3 linked regions of the Saccharomyces cerevisiae S288C genome follow. The protein of the gene in region 1 interacts with the protein of each later gene in a pairwise test. Each region holds a gene or a part of one and is shown on either strand. Other genes may lie near its edges.

Region 1 (6,319 bases):
ACTCGACTACTGCGTCCTCGAATGGGCAAAGTCAGGGCAATGTACCTACCTCCGCAGTAGCTTCAACAACGAGAACAAGATCACCGGAACTGCAGGATAATCTAAAGTCTTCTTCTTCGCTTTTACAGGACCAAACCCCTCAGCGTCAGGAAGACGCCACGGATCCAACAACATCATCGACGAATGAATTATCTGCCGCTGAGCCAACAATGGTCACTTCGACACATGCCACTAAGACAATACAGGCTCAAACACAAGATCCTCCCACGAAGCACAAGAAGTCCAGTTTCTTCACTAAACTGTTCAAGAAAAAAAGCAGCCGTTAGCAGTTGTTTACTCGAATTTTGCAATCAACCCTAATTTTTGAAGCCTGGTTTTAGATTTATTCTCTTCTTTTTCTTCTTGTGAACTTCAATTACTAATGTAACTTAATTTTTAATATAACTTTTACAGTTTAATAATATTGATTTTTTTCGGTCTGGACCAATCGCGCCGCATTTCTCACTAATATTACTAACATACCCTCTTCTCATTGGCTCGGTACCCCTTTCGTGACCCGCATTTTTTGTTTTCTTTGTTAGCCCGAATGTCTCACAATGAAGATGTAAAATTAAGATTATATATGAAAAATTGATACAAAACAAAATAGTTCAAATAATCAAGTTAAAGCGACATCACTCTCAATTTTTGCTTTTTTTAGGTTTATAGAATAGAAATATAACAGAACGAAGCCTTTAGACTCTTTTTTTTTATTGGTATATTGAACAAAGAAACTTTTTTTTTGTCCTCCCATATCTCGTGCACACAAATATTATGTCCATTGTAGCACTAAAGAACGCAGTGGTGACCCTTATACAGAAAGCGAAAGGTAGTGGTGGAACCTCAGAGTTGGGGGGGTCTGAATCAACTCCCTTGTTGAGGGGTAGTAATAGCAATAGTTCAAGGCATGATAACTTATCCTCATCTAGCTCGGATATTATCTATGGTAGAAATTCAGCGCAGGATCTAGAAAACTCACCGATGTCAGTAGGGAAAGATAATAGGAATGGCGATAACGGTTCGGATAACGAAAAGGCGAACCTAGGGTTCTTCCAATCAGTAGATCCTCGCGTAATTAGCGATTTGATTATCGGGCTAAGCGACGGTTTAACCGTCCCCTTTGCTCTAACAGCTGGTCTATCTTCACTTGGTGATGCGAAATTGGTCATTACCGGTGGCTTTGCTGAGTTGATCTCAGGTGCGATTTCTATGGGCCTTGGTGGCTATTTGGGAGCGAAGAGTGAATCTGATTATTATCATGCTGAAGTAAAGAAGGAGAAAAGGAAATTTTACGATAACTCCAACCTAATTAACAGAGAAATTGAAGACATTCTGTTAGAGATTAACCCTAATTTCTCGGACGAAACAATCGTTTCGTTCATCAAAGATTTACAAAGAACACCTGAGCTAATGGTTGACTTCATTATCAGGTACGGTAGGGGTCTAGACGAACCTGCCGAGAATAGAGAACTAATCAGTGCAGTCACTATCGGTGGCGGTTATCTACTTGGTGGGCTAGTACCACTAGTGCCATATTTTTTTGTCTCAGATGTGGGCACAGGTCTCATTTATTCTATAATAGTCATGGTTGTAACATTATTCTGGTTTGGTTACGTAAAGACAAAACTATCCATGGGTAGTGGCAGTTCGACTTCAAAGAAAGTTACGGAAGGTGTTGAAATGGTTGTTGTGGGTGGTGTAGCAGCAGGTGCGGCTTGGTTCTTTGTTAAGTTACTGGGTTAAGTGTAAAGTAACAACACTATACATATTTATTGTAAAGAAATTTGGGATTGAGAAGCTTTGCTATATACTTGGAACTGGGCTGGATTTTCTCGACATACATTTCTTTTACGTTTTAATTTGTTTCTATATTCTCCTCTTTAAATTTATTTATATTAATGAATTTCAAACTAGTTTCTTTTTCTATTGCCAAGAGGCCCATCAGGTGATCCATGATAACCTTTATTCGCATTGAATCGTTTTTCATTGGATCTAATTCGTCATTTGGTCGCCGCCTTTCTTTGCTCCTTCTGCTTTTTTCTTTTTCTCTTTGACTATCAGGTCATAAGATCTTCTCCTCCATTATGCCCAAGTGTTTTTCTTTTTTTTGCCTTTATATAAATTACAAAATACATACATATACTTCTCGTGCAGTATACTGGAATCAGCTTTATACCATATGAAGCACAACTTGGATCAGGACCGCTCTTCATTAAAAATCGAAGAATTATCTAAATAATTAATGTGCACGTCAATATATTCTCCGCGGAAACATGACAAACTTTTAGAAAAAGATTTAAAGCAATATTTTTCAGTTCTCCATTTCTTTATTTTTCAAGACCAATTCTAGTTCACCAATATCAAACATTCCTATGCCTTCCTGCAGAGCATCTGCCAAAATGGATAGTGATTTATTCGTGAAATCCGGGGCAGCTCTAAGACGATTGATATCATCACCGTAGTTTTCAAAAAGTAAATTTAAGTATTCTTCCCTTAACTTTGTCTTGTCTTTCCCTTTGGGCACAAAGTTTTCTGCCAATTCATTGTATTCTTCTCTCGCAAGCTTGATATTTTCGGCAATTTTCGATGCATTCATAAAACCCTCCTTGTTTTGAGATTTCGTAGGCTCTGGGATCTTGCTCAAAGAAATTTTGGTTAAATCGTCTATCACTTCTTTTGAATTTAACTTCAAATCCTTGCTTTCTTCGTCTGTAAGCTCGACATCCGAAACTTCTATTGCAATGTCCTCTTGTTTGTCTTCGTCATTACCTTTTGAGAAAACATGATCACTTTTACCATTTTCTCCAACGTGTTCTTCGATGGCCCCATTTTGGATTTCCTCCTTTTCACTTTCTGATGATGGATCCGATGATGAAGAATCTGATGATGAAACATCAGCTGTTCTTCTCTTCTTCCTCCTTCTGTTTTTTTTGACAGACTTGATATTTATGGCTGATATATCACCTGCCGACATCCTGTATAATATATTATGGCTAGTTCTTTCCGTGCTATTTCAAGTGGGCAGTTTAAATTCTTGTATATATTACTACAATATATGAAAGTTTTCGCTCTTCGTTTTTTGCAAATTTTTAGTGATGAGCTCTTCGCGCAAAGAAGTTTTCAATGCCCGTAAAGGCACCTAATTATATATCGAATTATTTTAAGCTTTCCGCTTCATCAATGCATTTTGTCTTTATATATCTAGTTTACAAAATAATATGTTGCTATTGCCTTGCTTTTAAAGGCTCAATATCTTGGACTTACTGCCTAGAATAGCTTATCCATTTCCACTAGCGCGTAGTCTAATATGTAACTTTGTTCAACTAAGTTATCAACCCTTGTGAAATGCCTTTGCGTGTATGGAATTATTGCATCAACTATCTTTACCATTCCGGGTATCTCACTCAATTTTGCTATGTTATGATGCATCAAAATACATCTTATTGTTCTTTGCGCTATGGTATGTGTTTTTGCATTTGTATTCCAATCTCTGCATCGTTTCATTAACAAAATTAACTGTTCATCATTTAGGATAGAGATGGCTTGGTCCAATTCTTCATTGAAAATGACTTCAATTTTGCCCTCTTCGGTATCTTGTCTAGACCTTGATTCGCCCAAAGCTCTTTTCAAAACATTAAACAACCTCATTGGGTGATCTAAAGTCATTGCTAACAAAAATGCATTTGTCCAATCACCTTTGCTCATATAATTTTGAAGCGATTGTTCTTGTTCGACTTGTAATTTAGCTTTTTCTTGTTCTTCTTCTATTTCTTGTTCCGTACAATCTTTCCAAAACTGAAAAACACCATCTGCATCAGCACTTACGATCATATCACCATCATTCATAGTACTTAAAGCCCATAATCTATTATTATGACCATCCAAAGTCTTCAGACATTCACCGCTAGAACAATCCCATATTTTGATCAAGCCATCAGCACCACAACTGATCAGTTGTTTTTGCTTATTAATAAACGAACATCTTTGAACCGCATTGGTATGACCTTCCAATGTTTTCATAACGCTGAATGTATCCAATGACCATATCTTGACTGTTTTATCACCTGAAGAAGTTGCCAATAATTTATCATATTGGCAAAATGATACATCCCATAGTCCACGCTTGTGGTTGGCCAACGTGGCTTCCAATTCACCATTTTCTAGGTTCCAGATCTTACAGGTCTTGTCGTATGATGCTGTTGCAAAAATAGAATCGTTAGGAGAAACTGACAAAGCATTGATATCCTTTTCATGGGCATGACGAGTATATTCGGATACCTTGATGATTTGAACATCCATACTAGCAGTTGGCTTTGGAATTATCCATTTCTTAATTGTTAAATCATTCGATGCTGTCAATAAAAATTCAGGATATCCCTTTGAAACTATATTTGGCAATCCAACAGCAGTTACGGCAGCTGAATGACCAATATACTTGGCATAAATATCAAACTTGCAGCTGTTCTCATTGTATCTCCAAACAATAGCCGTATTATCTTTAGAGGCGGTTGCGATCCACAGGCCATCCTCAGTAGCATCCAATGAATTTAGCAAATCTTCATGACCTTCATAAATTTCGACATCCAAAGGCAGCGAAGCTTCTGGGCCTGATAAATCGGGGACGGGTATTATCCTAAGCGATGGAGAATTGGTAGCTAAAGCTAATTTATTCAGCTCTGGGCCAACATACCTCATGTCAGCAATAATACCATGATTACCAGCAATGCTCGAAGTGACCTGTATTGTGTCTTCATCATTCTTTAAGTCTTCTTCAACGTTAATTAGTTGTAATGTCTGGTCAGACAATACTAAAAACATCTGTGAATTGCTCAATATTGGAAGTACACCAATAATGAATAACTCTTCTATAGGTTTATTGGTTCTTTTAAGCACGCTACCAGATTCAGAGTCAATTAACTGAAAGATAGCATCACCGCCGGCTGTATAAATTATGCGTTTACCGTCACCATCCTTTAGGAATCCGCATGACTCTACCTGTTGATTTACTGGAAGTGTTTTCAACAATTTACATTTCTTTTTCATATTGAAATCCCAGAGATTGATGATATCGTCTCTACCACCGGAAAGTAAATTTAGGCTTGGCTCATCATTATCTGGTACCTCAATGATATCCAACCCTCTCACAGCAGATGTGTGCTCTTGTAATGTGTGCAAGCACTTCCTTTTAACAAGATCCCAAACCTTTACCATACCATTGGTGTCACCGGATGCTAATAACCATATTTTACTATTCAATTGTCCATAAAACTTCAAACTGGAAATTGTACCACCATGACCTTTGAACGAATGAGTAATGTAACCATTTTCAATATCCACAACAATTATACTACCATCTGTCCCTCCGACTGCGAGAAGCGTTGAAGTGGAATCTGCGTCGAGAATGTACGATGGAGAAGAGATTTTCATTGATCTGACAACTTTCCCGGTCTTAAGGTGAAAGATTTTTAAAAGCTGAGCTTGTGAAACATACGTGAGATATTGACCATCAGGAGTTAATTTCAGTGCAGTAATTTCTTGCTCGTCTTCATTAGAAATCTTGTGCAAAATTTTTCTGGAGCCTGGGGTTAAATCGATTATGTTGATTTCGTCAAGCACCGGAGTAGCTAGTATTTTACCATTTTCTGAAACAGTGGCAACAGCACTGCTTCCTGCATAAATAGGGTTTAACGATATACCTTTATATGAGGTTTTCAGATCCATATTGTACGTAGTATGGCTTACTACCGTTGAGAGTACTATGTTGTTGGTTCACACCTTTAATGCCATACCGCTATTATATCTGAGAGCGATGAGCTGAATTTTTCAGAAAATTTTCAGTCGCTTTACACGGATATATTAAGAAGCTCCATCTTAATCGCCAGAAGAGTGGATGAGGTTATCATCTCAACTAGAGTCGAAGAGTAAGGCAATCCATCAAATGGGGTTGCTTGAGGCTTATTTACTTTTATACGTCTGATTGGACGGATTATACCAGTAAAAAAAATATTGATTGTGTTTTTCTATAAAAATATGCATATATAAGTAAAAAAATAACATGTAATTCTTTTCAACCAACGATAAAGCAAAATTCAGAGTAGAATAAGGCAAAGTCACATACTGATGATGATATTGTAAACGAAAGGTGATTTGATTGTAGTAACCATAAAAAAATGCAAAATAGCTCATTGTAAGACGTCATTGAATTCGAATGAATGGTTAACATCATTGCCCATAATTCCTTCGATATCTGCCAATGCACTCTCACTAAATAAACCATTTT
Region 2 (7,543 bases), on another chromosome or scaffold:
AAGCAATTTACTACTGAAAAGACAAGAGTTTGAATGCGAGGCACAAGGGCTTTGGATTGCCTGGAAGGGACATGTGTCCCCTTTTATAATTTTCATGCTTTTGTCAGTCTTATTTGCTCTAATTAGTACACTGTTAGTCAAATATGTTGCTCCTATGGCTACTGGTTCAGGAATCTCAGAGATTAAGGTATGGGTATCAGGTTTTGAATACAATAAGGAATTTTTGGGTTTCTTAACATTAGTCATTAAAAGTGTTGCCCTTCCTTTGGCTATTTCTTCGGGATTAAGCGTAGGTAAAGAAGGGCCCTCAGTTCATTATGCAACCTGTTGTGGGTACTTACTCACAAAATGGCTACTAAGAGATACTTTGACGTATTCATCGCAATATGAGTATATCACAGCAGCTAGTGGAGCAGGTGTTGCGGTTGCTTTTGGTGCTCCTATTGGTGGTGTCCTTTTTGGTTTGGAAGAGATTGCTTCTGCGAATAGGTTTAACTCCTCTACCTTATGGAAATCCTATTATGTCGCCCTAGTCGCAATAACTACTTTGAAGTACATTGATCCATTTAGGAATGGCAGAGTTATTTTATTCAATGTAACATATGATAGAGACTGGAAGGTACAAGAGATTCCGATCTTTATAGCCTTAGGAATCTTTGGTGGTTTATATGGAAAATATATTAGTAAGTGGAACATCAACTTTATTCACTTTCGCAAAATGTACCTGTCCTCATGGCCAGTTCAAGAAGTGCTTTTTTTGGCGACGCTTACTGCTTTGATTTCTTACTTCAATGAGTTCTTGAAATTAGACATGACAGAAAGTATGGGTATATTGTTTCATGAATGTGTCAAGAACGATAACACCTCAACTTTTAGTCATAGGTTATGTCAGTTGGATGAAAATACGCACGCTTTTGAGTTCTTAAAAATTTTTACTTCCCTATGCTTTGCCACTGTTATCAGGGCCTTGTTGGTGGTGGTATCATATGGCGCCAGAGTTCCTGCCGGAATCTTTGTTCCTTCAATGGCGGTTGGGGCCACATTTGGACGGGCAGTAAGTCTACTGGTAGAGAGATTTATAAGTGGCCCTTCTGTTATTACTCCTGGTGCCTACGCCTTCCTGGGAGCAGCCGCTACCTTGAGCGGGATAACTAACTTGACTTTAACTGTGGTGGTAATAATGTTCGAGCTAACAGGCGCCTTCATGTATATCATACCCCTTATGATTGTAGTGGCAATAACAAGGATAATTTTAAGCACGTCTGGTATTTCTGGCGGTATTGCTGATCAAATGATCATGGTTAATGGATTCCCATATTTGGAAGACGAGCAAGACGAGGAAGAGGAGGAAACCTTAGAAAAATACACTGCAGAGCAGCTCATGTCCTCCAAATTAATTACTATTAATGAAACCATTTACCTTTCCGAGCTTGAATCTTTGTTGTACGACTCAGCGTCTGAATATTCTGTGCATGGTTTTCCAATAACTAAGGATGAGGATAAGTTTGAGAAGGAAAAAAGATGTATTGGCTATGTTTTAAAAAGGCACTTAGCCAGTAAAATCATGATGCAAAGCGTAAATAGCACCAAAGCTCAAACGACACTGGTATACTTCAATAAGTCTAACGAAGAGTTGGGACATCGTGAAAACTGCATCGGATTTAAGGATATTATGAATGAATCTCCAATCTCGGTGAAGAAGGCGGTGCCAGTAACATTGTTATTCCGTATGTTTAAAGAGCTAGGTTGTAAGACTATCATCGTAGAGGAAAGTGGAATTTTAAAGGGGTTGGTCACTGCTAAAGATATTTTGAGGTTCAAAAGAATTAAGTATCGAGAAGTTCACGGTGCGAAATTTACATATAATGAAGCACTTGATAGAAGATGTTGGTCAGTTATCCATTTCATAATCAAAAGGTTTACCACTAATCGAAATGGTAACGTTATATGATTAGACATTTATGTAATTTTTAAGGCGCTAGTATAGATTATTCAAAATTATATGATACAGACTTTTATCAATTTTTACTTGTTTAAGCTCCGTCACCCTGTTATTAAACGTGAGCAGAGAAATGCCTTTTGAAAACACACTAAAACACATAAGTTAATCTTCGCGCCATTTACCAACCTTTTTGTATTGGAGGTAAAGTGCTTTGAAATATTGTTTCCCAGGTGTGTCAAGGAAAGCGTTCAATTGATTCAACTCGTTCTGAGATAATATATCAAAAATCGCATGAATACCGGGCTGCAGACTCTTTTTTATGTTTAAACTGAACTGCGTCGTAATAGACAACTGTATATATTTCGTTAGAACCACAAGTACATTTTTTCTGATGGACTGCTTTATCAAACTTATCTTTGAGCTTAAGTTATTTTTCTGCCCATTTTGAGCGTTTGATACATTATAAGGCTCGCAGTAGTTCGTTATTAGTCTGGCTACGGCGTCTGCTGAATTTGCACACAATGTACCATCATGAATTGCTATTATTTCTAGTATCTGGCAAAGAACGGAGTTAAACAAATGGTGACGATTGGAAAATTTAAACCTGTGAACTAATAGCATATGATCTATCACTTCGATGATGTTAATAAAGCCTTCATTGATTTCATCCGTTGACTCATGGTTTACTATAAAAGCGAGAGTTTTTAAACAGAAAGGAAGCAGCATTTCAATACAGTATTGGCTGAATAGCCATGGTTTCGATACTAAGAACTCCTTGATAGCATTGAACAGTAGCAAGTATGACTTGTAGCCAAATTTTTCTATATCACAATAGGTGTAGGCTTCAAGTAAAGCTATCACAAATAGGTGATGACCAAGGTTATTGTCTCTTGCAATCCTTTTTGACATTATGATAAAAACTCTCACAAATTTTTCAGCACAAGGTTGGCTAATGGTGGAAAACGATTTAGCACTGTTCCAGAGCAGGCGGTTAAACGCATCAGGACCTTGTTTAAGACTTTCTTCCAAGCAGAACCCCAAGGCAGAATCGCACTTATCTGTATGCTCAATATTTAAGTACTCTGCAAAAATATACTCCAACTTGTTTTCTGTAAGGAGTGAATGAACCAAAAACATTTCCTGTTCTTCTGGCGCATGGTACACTTTTTTAGAATGATATCGAAGCATAATTTTGGAAAATATATCCAGAATTCTCGATTTATGCTTAGAAATATCGCCTTGTCCGGTCGTTATAATCTTGTACAATGTAGACATTGATATTCTGAAAAGGGGAATTGTTTCAGATTCAAAATTTTCAGAGTAGTTTTCCAAAATTTTAACAGCATAGCTAATTGCCATACCTTGTATATCTCTATGCTTGTTATCTGGTTTCAAAAATTTTGCGATAGTAAACCCGGCGATAATTAGTTTGCTATCACCATTGGACAATGACATTGACTGTTTAACGATATCGTAACCAGATTCTAAGAACTTCTCACTCACAGGCTCCTTTGCCTGTGACAGATGATTAGTCCAAACTTTTTCGAAAATAGATATTTTGTCTTCTATTTCCTTTTTTTCATCACCTGTCTCTGAAATGGCCATTTCGGGGCTCATTATTGTTTTCTCACATAATTCGTAGAAATTTGTTTCAATGTTGCTCTTGAAGGTCGGGCTTGACAATAAATGAAGGAGGCATTCTCTAGTAGCGGAATCAAGGCAAAATGATTCGCATGTTAGATTGTTAATGAGAGCCACTCTAACGTTTTTGTTGATGCATTGGATAGGAATTTGAATCAAAGCTTCTAGAGCGAAGGTTTGATGGTATGATGAAGCAAGCTTGTTTATTAAAGCGTACGTGATATTTGTCTCCTCAAAAATGTCATCATTTTTTAATAACGAAGATAAATTTGTCGAGTTCAATAGTAATGAATCAATTAAAGAAGAAATTTGTTCTCTTGTAAAGTTGTTGTTTACTAATGTTGCAAATTTGGACACAACAGAGTATGATAAGTTTGACTTTCTTTCTTCGTCAAGGATTTCAAAGTGCCTCATGAATTTTTTTTTTGCATCAGAAAGATCGAACGAAATATATTCTCTCAATTTGAAGCAATAAAAGAACAGTTCTTCAACATCAGCCGATGTAGTATCAAAAATATTAGAAGATAACACGTAATCGATTTTTTCTAGTTCCTCTGCAGGGACAATATCATCGTAGACTTCCATTATATGATACTTTAGGTCCCATTGAAGACTGTTATTAAATGATTCCAAAGTAAATACTTGAGATAAAATAGGCTTTACCTCATCGAGAGTTGCGCGCGATGCGCCCTCTGATAGTCCCTCCAAGCATATGCGTATTAAATATAAAGGAACCCTGTTGGTGGAATCGTGATTGACTTGGTCAAGTAAAGCTTGCAATAGATTTTTCCATTGTAAAGAAGATAAAGTGAACAATTGCTTCGTTATAGACTTGACATATGCAGGATGATTTATCAAAAAATAGGAATCGGGTCCTTTTCTGGAACAGTACTCATTTATTTTGGCAAAAAAATCTGATAATTCCCTTGCGTTAGCGTGTGATTGGATTATTAAATCCCAAATATGAGAGGAAAAGAGAGGATCGTTCAAATTTTCGAGCTGAATCAATTCAAGTAACCGAAAAATATGTTTAATAGCAACCTCGATATCCAATTTAAGGATAATTGGTATTAATGATAACACTCCAGATTCATCAGTCGACGCTAACATTTCAAGCAATAATGCTTCAAGGAACTCTTGAGATACGGTTTTCTTCGATTCCGATAAAAGATTCAGAAATCTGCATTCTAAACTAGGTTTCTTGGCACCTAAAATTGTAAAGATGACTTCTAGTTGAGCAAAATTGTCTTTTGATAAGAAAGTGACGAAAGTGGCAAAATAATAATAAGCCATATCGTCGGTAATTTCGGACGCATTCTCTTGGACAAACTTTTTATTTAATTTCATGTAATCTATGCGTGGTTGTAAAAGGAACTTTCCCATAAAATGAGATAGACGAATGAAGGATTGGTTTGAAGATGCAGAATTTTTGGTCTGTGCGAAATATCTTAAACTTGGTAGTAGCATATGCTTGCAGTAACAAGTAGCAATTTTGTTATCCGTTGTAGTAATATTGTCAACATGAGTTAGATTGCAGGCATCTTGCAAGTATGAAAGCGCAAAGTCAGTCGTCGGGCACGAACTTAATCCATTTATGGCATGTTCTAAAAGTTGAAAAGACTCTTCAACAGAAAAATTGACAATCAAGTAGTCATTAATCGCAAAAAATGCTTTTATAAACGAAACGCTACGTGTAAGTAATTTGTCTTTAGGCCAAAGGAAAAATGTTCTTATCATTACAGGCACAGTCTTCAATTTTTTGAGTAGTTTTTTTATCGAAATTGGATCATTAATAGCATCTAATAATCTCGTGAAAATTATCCAAGTATGTTCACTGGTCTTAAAATCATCCAAATTTCCATTGTTGAGCCTATCAATGAGTAAATCTAAGACGAAAATTTCTTTTTTTGGAAAGTAGGTTTCTAATTTATCAAATTTTGAAACTATCTCGGCAATTTGATGGGGTTTTGTGCTCGTCGAACGTAGTAATTTCGACAAATCTTGGGCATTGTCTGGGATAGATAGTTCTTCTGTAAGATCACCCATATTATCAAAAAGTGCAGTATACTCTCTGTTTTTCCAAAGATAATTGATGGCAAGCTAAATCTTAGACAGAGATGTTCCTATGCTAGTAAACAATTCTGTAGTTGTGACCAAGTGCCCTCTTAGCGATCATTTTGAGATGAGCTAAGTGAAATTTTTCAGATCGCGCACGACGGAGAGGTTTTTTAGTTGGATGGAAGTCAAGCCTTGTACAAATTGTAGTTGTATAGAAAACATTGAACTTACGGTCTTGAGTTGAGTCAATAAGCGTGAGCCAGAACGCAATTATCAGATATGACAATCGATGATTCAAATCGATTACTTATGGACGTCGATCAATTTGATTTTTTGGACGACGGAACGGCGCAACTTAGTAATAACAAGACCGATGAAGAAGAACAACTATATAAAAGGGACCCAGTCAGCGGGGCTATCCTGGTCCCTATGACTGTAAATGATCAACCGATTGAAAAAAATGGCGACAAGATGCCTTTAAAGTTCAAGCTGGGGCCACTTTCTTACCAAAATATGGCATTCATAACTGCAAAAGATAAATATAAGCTTTATCCTGTTAGAATTCCTAGATTAGATACCAGCAAAGAGTTTTCTGCATACGTATCAGGTTTATTTGAAATTTACCGTGATTTAGGTGATGACAGAGTGTTTAATGTACCAACGATTGGAGTTGTTAATTCTAATTTCGCGAAGGAGCATAATGCAACAGTAAATCTGGCCATGGAGGCGATTCTGAATGAATTGGAAGTGTTTATTGGTAGAGTCAAGGATCAGGATGGAAGAGTGAACCGATTTTATGAGTTGGAAGAATCTTTAACCGTTTTAAACTGTCTGAGGACAATGTACTTCATATTAGATGGTCAGGATGTAGAGGAGAACAGATCAGAGTTTATTGAGTCATTGCTAAACTGGATTAATAGATCAGACGGTGAACCAGATGAAGAATATATTGAACAAGTGTTTTCAGTGAAGGATTCTACAGCAGGTAAAAAAGTGTTCGAAACACAATATTTCTGGAAGCTTTTGAATCAGCTTGTTTTAAGAGGCCTGCTCTCCCAAGCTATAGGTTGCATTGAAAGATCAGATCTTTTACCATATTTGAGTGATACATGTGCCGTTTCATTTGATGCAGTAAGTGACTCCATCGAACTCCTGAAACAATATCCAAAAGATTCGTCCAGTACATTTAGAGAATGGAAAAATTTGGTGCTAAAATTAAGTCAAGCCTTTGGTAGTTCTGCTACTGATATTTCCGGTGAATTACGGGATTACATTGAAGATTTCTTGTTAGTAATTGGTGGAAATCAACGAAAAATTCTGCAGTATTCAAGGACGTGGTATGAGTCCTTTTGTGGGTTTTTATTATACTATATCCCCTCATTAGAACTATCAGCAGAATATTTACAAATGTCACTGGAAGCTAACGTCGTAGACATAACAAATGATTGGGAACAACCATGCGTCGACATCATTAGTGGTAAGATACACTCAATTTTACCGGTAATGGAATCTTTAGATAGTTGCACAGCAGCATTTACCGCTATGATTTGTGAAGCAAAAGGTTTGATAGAGAATATTTTTGAGGGTGAAAAAAATAGCGATGATTATAGTAATGAAGACAACGAAATGCTTGAAGATCTATTCTCTTATAGGAATGGTATGGCATCTTATATGCTAAATAGCTTCGCTTTTGAGTTGTGTTCACTGGGTGATAAGGAACTATGGCCCGTTGCCATTGGATTGATAGCCTTATCTGCAACAGGGACGAGAAGTGCAAAGAAAATGGTGATTGCAGAATTACTTCCACACTACCCATTTGTTACGAATGATGACATTGAATGGATGCTAAGTATATGTGTAGAATGGAGACTACCAGAAATAGCGAAGGAAATATACACCACG
Region 3 (9,320 bases), on another chromosome or scaffold:
TGGCCAGGAAGAGGTAATACAGTTTCAGTTGCCTTCGTATAATTACACAAAACTATTAATTGACTGCTTTATAAATTATAACGATGGTTGTTTTTACTTTTTCAACGAAGGCCTGGTTAAATGTGGCATTAACAAATTGTACTTGGAAAATAAATGGCTATACTATGATAATACCAAAAAAGCTTTGGACAATGAGAATGATCCAATTTTACAAGCTGTTTGGTTTTGCAAAATTTTGTTAATTTTAGCAGTAGGTGAAATGTATCTGGGTTCCATCAATAATGAAATGTTGAAGAATTATTCTAATCAGCCAAAATTGCCCGGTTCAAAATTTTTTCAAATGGGTTCTAAAATTTTTAATTGTTTGTTCTCAAGTGAAAGATTAGAAAATGTGACTAAGAAAGGCGGTATTGAAGTCCTGTTGTTATACGCGTTCTTCTTACAGGTGGCTGATTACACTTTAGCCTCTTATTTTTACTTCGGTCAAGCCCTAAGGACGTGCTTAATTCTAGGCTTACATGTTGATTCTCAAAGCGACACTCTATCCAGGTATGAAATCGAGCATCATAGGAGACTTTGGTGGACAGTTTACATGTTTGAACGAATGCTTAGCTCAAAAGCTGGGTTACCATTAAGTTTCACTGATTATACAATCTCTACAGCACTGCCAGCGGATATTGATGATGAAACTATCGAAGAGAAAAATAGTCACTATGTTTTCAGAAAGGCAGAATTGATTTCTAACTGCGTTACTATTGTGAAAATCAATGCACAAATTTTGAGCAAATTATATCAAAGGCAACCTGAGACAAACATCATAATTACTTTGAAAGTTGTCATCAAGCAGTTGTTGGAATGGAGGAACAATTTGTCCGATTCCTTACAGGTGGATTTTACGCAAAAGGATGAAGATTTCAAAATATCGAGATTGTCAACCAATATGTTTACGGAATATTTTCAAGGAATAAACTTGGCCGTGAGACCTTTATTATTTCATTTTGCATCCATTCAATTGAAAAGGTTCAAAACGAGCAATACTTTCGTCAACTTACAAAACTATTCTGCCACAATATCTTCCTTATTAACATGTTCTTTGCATGCTTCTGTGAATACTATTAGGTCTCTGTGGAGTTTATTACAGAATAGTATGCTTGCTATGTTTAGTTATATGGACAGAGAGTATCTTTTTACTTCTTCTTGTACTTTATTACTATTCAACACTGCTTTTGGTATTCATGAACAAACACTATATCATTTGGATCATTCTCTGGAAATTTTCACACAAATGAGAAACTTAGGCAACATTCCAGCAGGCTTAAGAAGAGCACAATTATTAACATTAATGGCAAATTTGGATTTCCACGGCATAATGAATGACTTGATTACTAAATATAACGATATTTTGAAATTTGATTCTATGAATTGTGAAAACGATAACATAGTAGAAGATAGCAATGAACCCAAAAGAGAAACCGAAAAGTGTAAACCTCACAAAGATGGCGATCGCATTGACCCTTCAATTATAGACTGTGATAAATCAAACACCAATACAAATATGATCAAGAACGAATCTATATCGAACATTGTTAGCATACTTCCGGAAGGCGCGAAACCAACGCTGACTGATTATAGTAATGGTAATAATGATGTTAATGATATTAACGTCAATAACTCGGAACCTTCTACTTTTTTTGATATCATAACTGCGAGCTTGGAAAATTCATACCAAACCACGCTAACTGAAAAGGGCTCTCAGGTGATGGAAAAAAACATGGATCAGTTGGATTCCGTTCATAATCTAAATGATGACGATTTACAACAATTGTTGGAGGATTTAGGCAATATTGATCATTCCGATGAAAAACTTTGGAAGGAAATCACTGATCAAGCAATGTGGCTGGGAAATACTATGGATCCAACTGCAGCTGCTGGTAGTGAAATTGACTTTACTGATTATTTAGGACCATAACACCATTACAAAGACAAAGAAGAAAATACTGATTTCTTTGTTTTCTTATGCATATATTATACATTTCGCACATTATATAGAAAAGTGGACATTTAATTCTTCAAATCTTATTTAAAATATCTATCACAAGACAGCTCATTTACGTAGCCTCTTGACAACATTGTCGCTATCACCTTCTGTCCATAATATTAGCCTTTTTTGTGATTTGACAAGCTCGTTGTAGCCTAATAGTAGTTTTTCAATTCCGTTTTGTTCTTGGGCTAACCTCAAAGTAGTATTTAATGTACCTCTGTTTTCGTTCCGTAAAGTACCAATGTTGTTCAGTATATCGTCCTGTGGTAGTCTAGATTTGATGTTATTGTTCAAAACCTCGAAAAACGACACAATACCGTTTCTGCTAATTAAATTCAAACCACCATCATCTGCTACCCTTTGGACTTTGTAAAAAATAAAATAGATTAGTTCGCGTAATCTTTCTTTCAAGTATGGCATATTGATCAAGTTTAACAACCATTCAAATACACCTTTCTTCTCTAACATCTTGTAATCTTCATCCGTTTTAATTCCCTTACAAATGGTTGTTAAAACCCAACTCAATTCTCCATAGTATATTTCCATATCAATTTCTTTCTTATTGTCATCTTGTTGTCTCTTATTGTAGGACATCATCACATCAGATACCATAGGGATGTCCCAACTACGTATGGTAGAATTTGATAATACCCAGCGGTATGCCTTCTCATGTAAGGGCGCAGTTGGACTTCCCAATAGATCAACAATTCTAGAGATAGAAAACCAAATTAACGGATTGATAGGATCTTGATTTTGTTGTCTCTGGTATAAAATCCTTTTAATCAACACTTGGTAAATGCTATTATATTTGATTAAATCGCTATCAGATTCTTTTCTTTCATTATCCTTGCTAGTTATTTGCTTTTCAAGATTCATCTGGGCAGTTTTCTTCTCCAAAGAAGAAGCTAAATTTGATAAATGTTCGTAACTTATATTGGCAACGGTATGACAATCGCTTAATGAGCAAATAATAAACTGAAATATTTTGCAATCAAGGAAATTTTCAAATTCATATCTGTATGTTACATTGCCCTCGTCATCTTTGACCATTTTTACCAGCTCTTTGTTATGGATTATTAATAGCAGTAAAAATAATGGATCGTACATATCAACACCAGATCGTTCGGTATCATCGTAGTACTTTTTGACTAGGTCACACCTTGTAGTAGCATCATAATTGTTTGTATTAGAATCGGTATATAATTCAGGGACTTGAGGCCTTTCCAATACGTATCTGTCAATGGACTTTTTGATCATGTTTTTTTGTAGTGTTAGTATCAACCCCTCCCTTTCTTTGGTAATCAGCCTCGTGTCTCCAATGGCTTCCAAGATTTCTTCCTCTTCGTCTTTGATAAATTCCCAAGAAAAAATCATGTTTGTCCATGAAGTAGCGGTGTGAGATTCGATAGTTTCTAGAATTTTCAGTATCAACTTGTCGTTACTGGAAATAGTACCGGAGTAAAAAGTCAATAATTTCTCTTGAACTATTGGCGTCGAATTTACGACCGGGTCGATGCTGAATAAAGAGAATAATATCATTGTGCTTAAGAACTTTCGATACGATGAATCTTCATCATTGTCTTTAATCATTATTGATGAGTAACTGTCATTGCTTAATAAAAGTTGAACCATTCTTTGCGATTGAATTGACTTTTTGCTCACACAAAAAATTAATACAATAACGTATTCAAGAACCTTAATTTGTTTGATCCACTCACTGCCTAGAATAGCCTCTAATTGAGAATTAATGATTTTGACATTCAACTTATTTGGTACCTCTTCAAGTTTTAAGAGCTCAGCCATCGCTCTTAGTAACTCAAAAAAAGAATTGGAGATAACTTTTCTTTCTGAAAGGTACTTTGTAAGGTAAAGAAGAGTTTTATGTAACCATGTTTCTACCCCTGGATAAGTAAAATTATTGTGTGCAGCTATGTATCTTACTGTAGCAGCATGATATTTATGGTCGCTCTGTGATAAAACACATTTCAAAATTTCATTTCGTTTCGTTTCGTCATAGAAATCAATATAAGTGGTAATCATATTTAATATTTCGTCAAAAATCTCACTTTTCGAGGTAGTGTAAGTACTTTTCGCAATTTCATTACCATACTTGGAAATGGTTTCATGCGCAAATGCGCTAAAATCTTTATCCTGCATGTGCTTGAACAAAGCAGCCGTTGTTACAATACTTAGTAAAGGTGAATCCTTGATCCTCCAGATACTTGGTATGAAAGATGGGAAAGAAAAATGTTCCCATCTGTAAAAAGCTTTCAGTACTAGATAATTCAAATCACTAGACACAAAACTATTTATCAGAGAAGTAGTTTCTGAAAGGGATAGCTTACCCATAGGATCAGATGAAGCATCAACACAAACTTTGTTTTCTTCAAAAAATTTAGCCAAAGAGATGTTTACTTCCTTAATTGAAGCAGGATCTTCATTTGCAGCTTTGTTCAGTATATTCTTTACAAGGGATATTTTTATAGTTTTTCCTTCGTTGAATAATTTTTGGAGAATGTTTCTTGTGGACTCTAGTTTGGTGCTACACATGAGTAGCGAAGTTAAAGCTGAAGTACTTAAATACTCACTAACACTTGTTAAGAAAGCATTTACATCTTCTTTCTGATACAACTCATTATAGTTGGCATACTCTTCGACATTTTCACCACTAAACACGACTTTTTGAATTATTTCTCGGAATTCCACTAATTGATGGCCTGTTTCAAAGCATACTGCACCGATTAAATTGCACATGAACCTTGATTTTTTCATGAGTAGAGCATTTCTTTTTTCAATGGCCAGTTTTGGTAAAGCGAAATTTATATACCTTTCCAAAACTTTGATAATTGGGAATTCTGTGTCTGTTACCATGTAGCTAGCAATCTTGCCAGTTAACTCACAGGCAGTTGCTTCGAACCAATTGTCATATACAACAGAATCGTCTTCTACCAATAACTGAACTCTAAAAAGGATTCCTGCCGCATCTAATTTGTTCACTGGTAATCTAGAAATATTCATTAGATTTTTAGATGGAAGCGCCGAAATATACTGGAAAAAAGATGAGCTCTTCATTGAAGAAATTAAAGAATTAGAGCTATTAGTTTTCTTTATGTTTTCTTCAAATGAGTCAAGTTTCAAGTATATATTAACATCATGATCAGAGACCTCAGGAAAGACATTTTTAACAAGTTTATCTATGCCTATATGGTCTTCACCAATGAAAATCATGTTTCTAAGAAAAAGTATAAGCCATTTAATTAAAAACTCTGGGTTTCCACTCTTGTCAACGTATTTCCATTGCTCTGAAAGGCACATTATGAAGGGAGAAATGTAGTTATACTCTTTTGCCATATCGACGTACTTGTATGGTGTTTTTACGACACGAGATATAGTTTCGTCAAACCACTTCCAGACTTGTTCCATGTTGTCAATTTCAGAAACTTGAAGGGAAAGCCCTTGAAGACTATTCACTAAAGCCATCACTGGTGAAATTAAAGATATGTTGAAGATAACGTTTGTTCTCGTCAGCTCATCGAGCAAGTTGGATATTCTTGTAGTTATCACGTTAGAAGCATTTTTGGAGGATGCTAGCTTTAATAGTAGGGTGAATAAAGAATTTCCACCAGAACTTGGATTCCACCACCTGGTTTGAGTAGAGTTAAATTCTTGAAATTGTAAGTAGTTGTCCAGAATAGCAAATTCTATGCCAGAAATCTTGGATTTTTGCATGATATCTGTGTAAATATTTGATGATGGTAGGTTAATTGAGAAGAGGTTGGGGAACATTTTACTATAGTAGTTGAATATGATGGATATGGACAGAGGTAAAATTCTATTATCCTTATTGGAAGCCAAAGAATTGCTCAAAGTAGATACGAAGATTGGTAAATCAGGAATTCTAGTATGAAACTCGTTGAGTAAAATAGTTTTTTCATTTCTCCAGCCTTTTTGATCATAAAATGTGGAAACTTTTTCTAATTTTTTTAACGCTAGAACTATTGATTGACAGGCTAATTGTCTTATGATGGGTGTTTCAAATTGTAGGGATTTAACCAACGAGGATTTGGTGAGCAAAGATGGCAGAATGTTTTCTATAACTAATGAAGTGGCAGGTGGAATATTGCTATCAACTTTCTCCATAAATTGCGGTATCTTAAGATTAATAATCTTGTTAATCAGTAACGTTATACCAAACCAATACGAAGTCATCTTAGGGTCATAGTTACCATTCGTCGTTAAAAAGATGCTGTAAGGAGCAACAAGTTCGGGAACGTTCTCCAATATTTTGATCAACGTACCTAATTGCAGCGTATCTTCCCAAGGTTTGAAAAGGCGTAAAGTGTTGAACAAAAGTTTATTATGAATTTGAAATTCCACTTGGTTGACGGTTATCGGAGCTCCATGAGAAGCTCCATCAGCAACTGAATTTTTGAACCAAACGCAATTATCAGGAAATGCTACGCTAAAGTCACGGGAAGCTCCAAAAGTTAAGAAAAACTCATTTGCCTTCTTAACCAAATTCTTGTTTGATGAATAATAAAAGTGATGAATCTTTGAAGCCGCTAGTTCATTTAAAATTTTGGTTTTAGTAGTTCTCTTGAAGGATTTCTCCTTTAAAATGTCGTTTATGAATACCGATAGTATGTGCTCAGATAACTTGTCAGAATCAGCCTTATTCATGAATTTAAATAGGTTGCTCATAATCTTAAAGTTTTCTGTCAAAAGTTCTTTTCTCACGAATGGGGAAGCATTTGAGATCAATGTCAACCAAAACTTGATAAATGTAAATCTTAATGAGTCATGTTTGGATGAATCAGCAGATGAATTCCCATTGGCTAACTCAGACTTGCTTGGTACCAACAGTCTTGGTAAAATAGGTAATGAAAAATCGAAATATGAAACTAATTCCTCTATATGTTGCCCATTGTTGAAATTGACTATTTGTTTGAGTAGACGAAGAATTGGATTAGTTAATTGCGCACGCATATTGTTCAACCCTCTATAGAGAACTTTTGTGTAATCGGTCAATATCAATCTAATTAGACCGCTCCCAATAGTCACTGTACTAGTATCAGATGACAAAACTCGTAAGGTTTTAGTCAGTAATGAGGTAGTTTTCGAGAATTTCCCATGGTTATTTACTTGAGCATAATATGACCAAGTCTGTACCAATTGAGCACCAAATCCTCTTTGGAAGAACACTATTAGAGGTTGGTAATCTTTGGAGAGAGTTTCATCTTCGACTGCACTGATTATACTTTCTAGTGTTTCTAATGTACCGTCTTCGAACTCTTTCCCTTGGGTGTACTTCTCCCTTCTCTGGTCGCGAGATCCATAGGCTTCGCTATGATTACTCATTATGTAAGTGCTCCTCTAGTTCTGTTAGATGAAGTAGTACCGCATAGATTAGAGAAATAATATCCAATCAAGAATATAACCGAACTATTCTTTGCGATGAGCTTTATTGCTGAAATTTTTCATATTTCGTCTACAGTGATATAATATTGAAATCCTCATGCAAGTCGTGCATAGGTAAAAGCTGTTTACTATATGTTGGTGCACTATTATCATATAATTTTAGTTTGGTCGTATACTAGTGCGGCAGTAATAATAAATGCTTTAGAATCTTCAATCTTCATTTGTTTACGTAAAATGAAAACGTTTTGTGTTAGAATTGACAGATTGAAGTTTAATTTTAGGTGTCGGGAGAAACATTTTAATCCCTTTTTATGAATATAATTTAAGTACTAAAAAAATCACCATAATTATACAAAGTAACTGCAATTTAAAAGTACGTTTATAATTAATTCACATACACATGTTATTGTATCTAACTAAATAGTCTCGAAATAGTTCAATTGAGTACGCAAACTAACACAGTCAGTACAGATCGTAAAGTTTTCCGTCAATAGGGCCCTGACGGAGAAAGATTCCCTTTCCTATATTAGGAATCTAATAGACAAATTCATCAAGATATGCTTCCGCAACAAATCTTGCTCTGGCATTCAAAAACAGTTTAATTTCACTGATTTCCTTATCCACGTCCTCCATGAATTCAATAATAAAATCAACCAATTTCCCAGTTTTCATTGATTCAGTATGCTTATTAGTTATTAGAAAAGAAATACTGTAGCCAGGTATTGGTACACGTCTCAGAATGTAGAATGCTTCAGCACGCTGTTCCAAAAATCTAGTAAACTTGTGAACTAAAATCTGCTCAATTTCATCTGCCTGTTTCACCATTAAACTCATACGCACCGAGTTTACACTGGGCTCAATCAATACTTGTTCATTTTCATTACGAGATATATGCATCGGTTGGAGCAACAATTCGGCGCTAGTGTTAGGGACTTCAACTTCCGGTCTGTTGTGCCTCTCCACTTCCTGCGAAGAGAAATTGCTCAAAGTCAACGCAGCTTCCAGGGAATAACGAACAGCCGTTAGATACGGACGTAATGATTGTGACATTTCCTACTATCAGTTGCTTCCTCTTTTATCTTTTGTCAAAGTGACACCGAGTTGTTCCGAAAGCCTCTATTTGCTTGGCTTTACAGGCTTTTTTTGTTCTATAATTGTATTTTGCTATACAAAAGGGGCGACGTGGTAAACGATATGAAATTATCGACAATAATAATGTACTTGGAAATCTGGCAGTTGATGACATCGCAATAGCGTGCCTACCTATCAGGATAACAAGGTCTGAAGCCAGATCGACCACTAGACAAGCATTGCCGGAGGTGGGAGACGTGAAACTATGTCTATTTGGAAGGAAGCTAAAGATGCAAGTGGAAGGATATATTATTACAATACTTTGACAAAGAAATCTACGTGGGAGAAGCCCAAGGAACTAATTTCTCAGGAGGAGCTACTTCTTCGAGAAAATGGCTGGAAGGCGGCCAAGACGGCAGACGGCAAAGTATACTATTATAATCCAACAACAAGAGAAACCAGCTGGACTATTCCGGCCTTCGAGAAGAAAGTAGAACCCATCGCAGAACAAAAACATGATACAGTATCCCATGCACAGGTTAATGGAAATAGAATAGCCCTTACGGCTGGAGAAAAACAAGAGCCGGGACGAACTATAAACGAGGAGGAAAGCCAATATGCTAATAACTCTAAACTGCTTAATGTCAGGAGAAGGACTAAAGAAGAAGCAGAGAAGGAATTTATTACCATGCTGAAGGAAAATCAAGTAGACTCTACTTGGTCATTCAGTAGAATTATTTCAGAACTGGGGACCAGAGATCCAAGGTATTGGATGGTCGATGATGACCCC

The links. Proteins that work in one complex are often made in the same cells at the same time.
Region 2: the proteins of RSA3 (region 1) and URB2 interact in binary tests that used the Saccharomyces cerevisiae proteins (3 or more experiments, as listed by UniProt).
Region 3: the proteins of RSA3 (region 1) and URB1 interact in binary tests that used the Saccharomyces cerevisiae proteins (3 or more experiments, as listed by UniProt).

Annotation. Positions count from the first base shown.
Region 1 is NC_001144.5:576,012-582,330, forward strand, and holds RSA3 (Rsa3p), read right to left. Parts: upstream 3,014-6,319; coding exon 2,351-3,013; downstream 1-2,350. Other genes in the region: MSC3 (Msc3p), read left to right, coding at 1-326; CCC1 (Ccc1p), read left to right, coding at 814-1,782; U3 snoRNA-associated protein UTP13, read right to left, coding at 3,307-5,760; IFH1 (Ifh1p), read right to left, coding at 6,222-6,319. UniProt on the Saccharomyces cerevisiae protein: Required for efficient biogenesis of the 60S ribosomal subunit.
Region 2 is NC_001142.9:508,135-515,677, forward strand, and holds URB2 (ribosome biogenesis protein URB2), read right to left. Parts: upstream 5,630-7,543; coding exon 2,105-5,629; downstream 1-2,104. Other genes in the region: GEF1 (Gef1p), read left to right, coding at 1-1,951; NUP85 (Nup85p), read left to right, coding at 5,921-7,543.
Region 3 is NC_001143.9:409,515-418,834, forward strand, and holds URB1 (Urb1p), read right to left. Parts: upstream 7,400-9,320; coding exon 2,105-7,399; downstream 1-2,104. Other genes in the region: PUT3 (Put3p), read left to right, coding at 1-1,969; ARC19 (Arc19p), read right to left, coding at 7,994-8,509; snoRNA-splicing protein PRP40, read left to right, coding at 8,796-9,320. UniProt on the Saccharomyces cerevisiae protein: Required for 60S ribosomal subunit formation and pre-rRNA processing. Required for normal accumulation of 25S and 5.8S rRNAs.